Mus musculus: one gene and its partner. The protein of the gene in region 2 purifies or fractionates together with the protein of the main gene of each other region. This does not show direct contact. Links are inferred from orthologs where the notes say so. Each region holds a gene or a part of one and is shown on either strand. Other genes may lie near its edges.

Evidence for each region.
Region 1: the proteins of Atp2b4 (region 2) and Nptn purify together in Homo sapiens (co-immunoprecipitation; 3 studies listed by BioGRID and IntAct, with this or other methods). This does not show direct contact. The link is inferred for Mus musculus from reciprocal best matches to the Homo sapiens genes ATP2B4 and NPTN.

Annotation. Positions count from the first base shown.
Region 1 is NC_000075.6:58,580,913-58,585,159, reverse strand, and holds the start of Nptn (neuroplastin isoform 3 precursor), read right to left. Parts: upstream 2,921-4,247; 5' UTR 2,725-2,920; coding exon 2,634-2,724; intron 1-2,633. UniProt on the Homo sapiens protein: Probable homophilic and heterophilic cell adhesion molecule involved in long term potentiation at hippocampal excitatory synapses through activation of p38MAPK. May also regulate neurite outgrowth by activating the FGFR1 signaling pathway.
Region 2 is NC_000067.6:133,719,087-133,722,898, forward strand, and holds part of Atp2b4 (plasma membrane calcium-transporting ATPase 4), read right to left. Parts: intron 430-3,812; coding exon 238-429; intron 1-237. UniProt on the Homo sapiens protein: Calcium/calmodulin-regulated and magnesium-dependent enzyme that catalyzes the hydrolysis of ATP coupled with the transport of calcium out of the cell. By regulating sperm cell calcium homeostasis, may play a role in sperm motility.

The DNA of each region.
Region 1 (4,247 bases), on a different chromosome or scaffold from region 2:
AGTTCTATCTGTGTCCAAAGCCTGTGCTCTAGATCATGAGCTTGGTTTAATGTTCAATTTTAACCTAAAACCTTTGAATACCTTAAAATTTTTATGTTTTATATGAAACTGTGACCTTACAAGTCTGAATATTTATATGAAAAGTAAAATGTACTTGAATTCCTATGGTAATGGATCGTATTCCTTTTGGAATTAAAAAGAAATGCTGCTGGCCATCTATACCAAATTCTTCACTTAAGGAATAACAAAAACAGAAGCTTTTTCAAAAACTTCTACATGCCTAATCTAAACTGCCACATTTTCAATCCAGAAACAGTGACTCTACAACTGATTTTCCAAAGCATTATTTTTATTATCAGTATGTCTAATAGTTAAATACTATGTGGTATATAACATGGTATCTCATTTCACTGTTTAAAAAAGTAAAAACACTTGAGGACACAAAATGAGACTATTACAGGACTACAATCAACAGAAACCTTAAATATCACTGAGGCACGTTACAGAAAGCTTTAAAATGGCATCCTTAACCATATAAACTGGGAAGTAACCATTTCTTTCATGAATTCAATTTACATTCATTTAGCTCAACTATGGGTTCATAGTCACTTTACTAGCCCTGTCATGTGACTAAATCCAAGCTCATTTCAAGGGAAAGGCTGTACTATGCTGTATTTAGAACATATTATCACTAAGAGCAGATGAGTCTTTGTAGGCCTATCCAAAAACCTTGCCTTAGTTGCTAAGAAACTACAATTTACCATATTATAAATCATCAGAAATAACTTATGCCAGCAGAGATTAAGTATCTAAGATCAAGAATCTCTCATCTATAGTGCAAAATGAAACTGTTATTTCCACAAATAACTGAAATCAGAATTAAACTCACATTGTTATCACATCTATGATAAATAACACATATTTATATACATAGATACCAAGCATAGAGGGAGCAAATCAGGCTAACTTTACCCTTTCCCTTCTACAGCTTCATACTTGAAGGAAAAGGGGGTGGAAGTGTCCATATCCTTAGGATATTCAATGTAAGAAACAAATGTTTCCTTTCTGGCTCATGAAGTAATAAAGCCATGGGGCATAAAATTCCCTTGTAAAGGGAATATTTGATAAAGTGACTTTTTTTCCAATACTAAATGTGATACATTATTACTGTATCCGCTAGCATTTTAAGCTCAGTTTGTCTTCAAAATACTCAACTCCACTGGCTCTGACTGATTTTTGTTTTAATGAAAGCCACTTCAAATTGTTTTAGCATAACAACGAAGAAATTCAGAGATTAAAACTAATGACTAATGTATGGCTCCCTATCCCTAACCAACTTCTCATTAATTTTTTTCATGTTTAAAATAGAAATCTTTAAACCTCCTAATAGTTGTTTCCACAATAGCTGAATTAGGTTCATTATCCCTTTAGGTTTGTATCTGAATGTGCGGTTCAACAACGGACTGTGACAATTCCAACAGAATCTGTCATGTTTAGCTCCCCAAGCCTATTATCTTTCACCATCTTCTCTAAAGAGCTTCAGTTCGCAACCCAATTCTCACTTCCACTGTACCTTAAACCCAACCCAGAGACCACATTCATATTCCTCAGAAATAACATCTTTGCAATCTTGAAACTTTCAGTTCTAAAAGCCCACTTCCTCCATCTCCCCTGCCACCATCTCTCATTGCCCTCAATCCCACCACTGCAGATGTGGCTGTGTCCCAGCCCTCCCCAAAGGCCGAACTAGCATCATAAAGCATTTGCCACAACTCGTCCCCTCCCTAATGTATCCGCCGCGCTACAAAGCAACATTACACCCCCGACTTCCTGCATTTTACTCTCTTCCCTTATTTTTCCGTCTTCCCCCACTCCCACCACTATACCCAGGCACCCTTTACTTCCCTGATATTTCTTCTACCTCGGTTTTAAAGCTTTCCCCGCATCCTCTGCTCATTTTCCTCTCCTTATTTAGAAACTCCCTTTTGCTTTCCCAACCGCTACCCTAGAATGCCCAGCACTCCACCCTCCTTGGCAAAACCCAATCCTCTTCCCCCAGCTCGTTTGGAGACACTGCTGCTTCTCTTCTCCAGGTCCCCCTACTGCAGTCAACCCACTCCATCTTTCCACCCACCTTCCCTCTACCCCCAAATCCAAGGTTTCCCGAATCGCTCACTAACCCCTCTCCTTGAGAGACTCAAGCAGTCTGCTGCCTCTAGGTATTCTACGGGATCCTTTTGACCCCAGCTTCCCCCCTCCTCCCATTTTGCAGAATGTCACCCGGGTTCCAGGGCCCCAGTAGAATCCCGGGTGTCAGCGCCCGCGGAGCCCGGTTCTCTCGCCGACACCACCCCTCCGCCAGCTCGAACTCGAACGCCTGTCTCCCGCCGCTTTCTCCAGAGCCGCCCCCGCTACTCCAGCTCCCGGTGCGCGATGAGCCCTACGCCGCGGACCTGTCTACAGAGCCCCGGGCTCGCACCAAAGCGACGCCTCCACCTCTCCGCGAAGCACCTCCTCGCCTCAGCCGGGTCGCCCGCTGCCGGCTCCGGCATCCCCCTCAGGCCTGGGCCCGGCCCCTCTGGTTGCCAGAGCCGGGCGCCCCCGCCCGACCCGCCCCCGGCCCCTCGGCTTACCGTTCTGAGCAGCGCCTGGCCCTGGAAGGAGCGAGCCAGAGACCAGCAAGAGCGAGAGGGCCAGGGCGCCGGGGAGCGACGAGCCCGACATCCTCCCTAGCCGGAGAGCGCGCAGCGAATGGGCCGGGGCCGGGGCCGGGGAAAGGGAGGGGAGGGAGGGAGGGGGCGGGCGAGCGCGCGCGCGAGGGAGTGAACGAGGGAGGCAGCCGCGGCCGAGCTCCGTCCTTCCCTGTCCTCCTCCTACCGCCGCAGCGTCCAAGCCTCGCGAGACCTCCGCTGGCGGCCGTGGGCGGGCCAGGAGCACCGGCGGCAAGGCTCGCGAGAAGAGGCCCTCTTCCCCCCCCTCCCCAAGTCCCCGCCCCTGCAGAGGCTGATTGGCCAAGCACAAGGGCGGTCACGTGCGAAGGGCGCTTTTGGCCACGTGACGGGGCGAGGCGGGGACTCCACCCGCTCCTTCTCCCACGGGGGAAGACGGCGGAGTACAGTTCTCACTTCTATGGGATCCTAGCGCTCAGAAATTAGAGGAAGCATTGAGAAAACAATGCTCCCCCCACCCATCCTGCCTTTCATGCGTTACTGCTCGAAGCTTCAGAAATGGATACCCTAGACCCTGCTTTTGAGCTTCCTATTAGTACCCCTTATCAAAACCCTGCTTTTCCTTCTGGACTTTGACCAGAGACCCCTAGAGGTATCTGGCCACAACCTCTCTGCCTCGTGGATTTTTTTTTCCCTTCCAGGCAGTGTTAACGATCGCTGTGCTTCCTTGCACGGACATCTGTTCCCTCAGCCTTCAAGTGTCCTCCTTTTCCTCCCTACCTGTGCCCTCCCCACCCCTCTTTGGCCTTATTTTAGCTTCACAAGCTCTGAGGGCCTGAAGAGCTAGCCTGTGCAGGGCTACAGATCCAATTCTACAAGGAAGTCACAGTGTGTCCAGTAATAGGCAGAACCTTTGGTAGAGGAAACCCGTAAGAAAATAGTTTCCACTCAGTTCACTGTTCAGCCTGGTGTATCAGAGATGACCCACAGGAAAGGGGCAATCAAAAAGGAGTTTAGCCATGTTGCATAGAAAGTTGAGAAATGCCTTCTTTTGCGGTGAGAGAGTACTGGGGAGATGTCATAGTCCTTAAAAATGCTTGATACACAAACGTGAAGACCTGAGTTTCCCCAGCATAAAACAGAAAAGGATGGCCACCAGAGCCAACGCTGTAATCTGAGTCTGGAGAAGAGAAGAGCTCTCTGGTTTGCTAACTAGTCTGCCTAGCCGATCGATGAGGTCTAGGCTCAGTGAGGGACCCTACCTCAAAAACTGAGTATTCTCCAAAAAAAAAAAAAAAAGAAAGAAAGAAAGAAAGAAAAAGAATAGTTAAGGGAGATACCCGAAGGCAACTTCTGGCCTCCCAGTGCGGGCACACAGGCTCTCGAACACAAACACAGATTTGGGGGAGTTGGCTTGTTTGTTTTCCCTGAACCACCCTCAGCACTTGTGGTTAGCAAAGGAGTGTTTTCTGTGGCTTAGCTCATCTATGAGTCACAACAGACATCCTCGGGTGTCTCTGTGGCTTACAAGTGAGAAAGGGTAAACTGGCCTGCTGACCTGACTATATTCAAAGGGTT
Region 2 (3,812 bases):
CACATAAGCGCGCTTCATAGTTGCTGACCAAAAAAAAAAAAAAAAAAAAAAAAAGCTAAACTAATGCTGGGTATATATCTCCATGCTCAGCAAGCAGGTAGAGACTAAACCTGGTAGAGATATCTGTCTGAGCAGCACTGGGAAACCCTTGTCTTGACTCCTGAGTAGATACGCTATTCCCCCTCCCCTCCCCTGAGAACAGCCTCGAGCCACTCTGCTGTCCAAGCCCCACCCAACCTGAGTGATGCAGGCTCCAGTGAAAGCCACAATCACGGCCACCACATTGACAGTGAGCTGGAACTGTAGGAACTTGGAAATGCTGTCATACACATTCCGTCCCCACATCACTGCCTTCACAATGCTGGTGAAGTTGTCATCGGTCAGGATGATGTCTGACGCCTCCTTAGCCACATCTGTGCCTGCGATGCCCTGGGGTGGAGAGGAAGGCAGGCGGGAAGCAGTTAAGGGCACGCAGCACAATCTGAACCCAGGGCCTAAGAACCCGGAAGCCTCAGAACCAGGTGCAGGCATGGAGGGCATTGAAGCTACAACAGAAAACAACCACCCTCCCCACCTTGCTTCCCTGCCACTCTGCAGGAAAGACTATAAGTGATCAAGAGATGGGACGGCATCCTCTAGCCCCTCTCAGAGTCTCTTGCAAGGCCAACTCACTAGGTGGCCAAGGCTGGCCTCAGATTCCTGATTTTCCTGTCTCTACTTCCCAAGTGCTGGTGCACATCACCATATACAGCCCTGATCTGTTTCTATTATACATTGTGCAACCTCTAACCCACTGGGGCTTATTATTCCTGTAAAGTCTTTAAACTTTTTAGATGTTTATTTATGAGTCTTGATGCATACGTGCCCATGTGTACAGGTACCCGCAGAGGCTAGAGTAGGGTACTGGATCCTCTGAATAAGGAATTATAGGCAGGCGTGAGCCATTCAAGGTAAGTGCAGCAAACTGAACTCAGGTCCTCCGTAAGAGCAGCAATTGCTCTTAACTGTGGAACCATCTCTCTAGCCCCAGGAGACTTCTTCTTTATTCTGGTGTGTAGTATATTATTCTGTTTGCCTAGTAATATTATTTTACTATCTAGATTGAAGCAAATGAAGACTATCTAGATTACAAGTACATAATGCAGTTTTCCTATCAAAAAGTTCCGCCGGGTGGTGATGGTGCAGTGCCTTTAATTCCAGCAGTCAGGAGGCAGAGGCAGGTGGATGTCTGTGAGTTCGAGGCCAGCCTGGTCTACAGAGTGAGTTCCAGGACAGCCAGGGCTACAGAGAGAAACCCTGTCTTGAAAAAAAAACAAAACCAAACCAGAACAAAACAAAAATTAAAATGTTCCACAGCGCAGGGCATGGTAGCTTGTCTATAATACCGAGGCAGGAGGTTAGGCTAGGCGATCCTGCCCCTTCCCCCAAACTTCAATAAAGCCACATGCTGCCGTCATCTGTGCAGCATCTGTGCAGCATCTGTGCACTGTGAAAAGAAACAAGACGAGAGATGTGCTTGGGTCTGCTCACTACTATGACATAATCTTCAGGCTTCACTGTTAACTGAACAGAAGAGAGCTGGGAAAGAACATACAGACGTTACCTACCATTAACCTAGGAGGAAGGAGTACGTATATTATATATCATATATTATCATATATTATACTAACAAAAAAGATTTGTTTTTATTTTGTGTGTATGGGTGCTTTGCCTGCATGTCTGTGCACCAGGCACCTGTGGAGACCAGGAGCGGGCATTAGGGCCCCTGGAACTGGAGGTATGGACGGTTGTTACTGTCACATTGGGCGCTGGAACCCAAGCCTGGGTCCTCTGGACCAGCGGCCAGTGCTCTTAGCTGCTAAGCCATCTCTCTGGCTCCTATGTGATTGTTTTCTATTTATTTATGTTTGCTTTTGTTTCTTGGTTTTTGAGACAGGGTTTCTCTGTGTAGCCCTGGCTGTCCTGGAACTCACTCTGTAGACAAGAGGCTGGCCTCGAACTCACAGACATCCACCTGCCTCTGCCTCCTGACTGCTGGAATTAAAGGCACTGCACCACCACTGTCTGGCTCAGCCCTTACCTTTAATTTAAAAAGTTAAATGATTTCATTCTATGTGCATGGGTGTTTCACCTGCAAGTATGTCTGTGCACCAAGAGCAGGCTTGCTGCTCCCAGAAGCCAGAAGAGGCCATTAGATCCCATGGAAATAGAGTCACAGGCAGCTGTGAGCCACCAAGTGGGTGCTGGGAATAGAACCTTGGTCCTCAGGAAAAGTAGCCCAAGTCTCTAAACATTTTTCCAGCCTCTATTTTTTAATTTAAAATTATGTGGTTTTAGTAATTTGATGTAAGATATAGCTACAGATAAAAAACAATAAGAGTAATACGTATATGTACATGTACAGAATCACCAAACAATAATAACTAATTTAAAAAAGATAAATATTTAACTCTGTGTGGTGGTACATGCATATGATTTCAGGACTCAGGAAGCTAAGGACTGTGAGTTTAAGGCTTTCCTGGGCTACATAGTAAGGTTGAGGCCAACCTAGGTTCCTAGTGAGATGCTATCTCAAAATAAAATAAGAGAATATTTTTAGTAATTATTTCATTATTGTTGTTATTTTATAACTATTGCATAGTTTTTAGACAAAGTCAAAAATTGCACTAACGGCATTAGAGGTCACAGGTTTTATCTCAAGAACTGCAAATATAAAATTAGGGAAGCTAGACACACAGGAGAGAATTAGAAGCATAGCATTCCAGAATTTTAAGCGAGAAACATGAAGACAACCAATTTAGGAAGCATTTCACCTTAAAAACAGGTAGAGAAACTCAGCCAGGCCACAAAAGCTCACTTCTTAGCTCTGTTATCCACTCAGTAGCATCTGACACGGTATGCGCTCAGAGGGGAGATGCTCCTCTCTGCTCTGACTGTATTCCCTAGTGTGGCCTAGTGAGGCAGGGCACACTGAGGCAATGCATGATACCAGACCGGAAATAAGAAATAGGCTCAGCGGGCTGGTGAGATGGCTCAGTGGGTAAGAGCACCCGACTGCTCTTCCGAAGGTCAGGAGTTCAAATCCCAGCAACCACATGGTGGCTCACAACCATCCATAACGAGATCTGACTCCCTCTTCTGGAGTGTCTGAAGACAGCTACAGTGTACTTACATATAATAAATAAATAAATCTTTAAAAAAAAAAAAAGAAAGAAAGAAATAGGCTCAGCCAGGTGGTGGTGGCGGCACATGCCTTTAATCCCAGCAACCCGGGAAGCAGAGACAGGTAGATTTCTGAGTCTGAGGCCAGCATGGTCTATAGAGAGTTCCAGGACAGCCAGCCAAGGCTATACACAGAGAACATGTCTCAACAAAACAAAACAAAACAAAACAAAACAAAACACCACCACCACTACCAACAACAAGGCTCAACCTCTCTGCAGTGTCTTATCAGGCAAGAAACCAAAAAAAGCAATAAAAGACACCTGGGGTTACATCAAAAGCTCTCAGAGACACTGAAGGGGTGACTCCTGGCTAATGAGGGATCGGTTTCAGCATCAAGACAATAATAAGAGTAATGGATTGAAGCATATCGTATCTATATTCAATTTTCCCCATTTGGGCTGTAGGTACCTCAGAGTTCTTGTCTGACATGCTTGAGGCCCTAGGCTCAATCCCAGAACTGAAAAAAACAAAAACAAAAACAAAAAACAAAAAACATGTGCTTGTAATAATACCTAAAAAATAACGTAAAGCAAGTTACCCTCTGTATGGAAGGAGACGAGTCGGGCATTTAACCTGACTTTCATGTG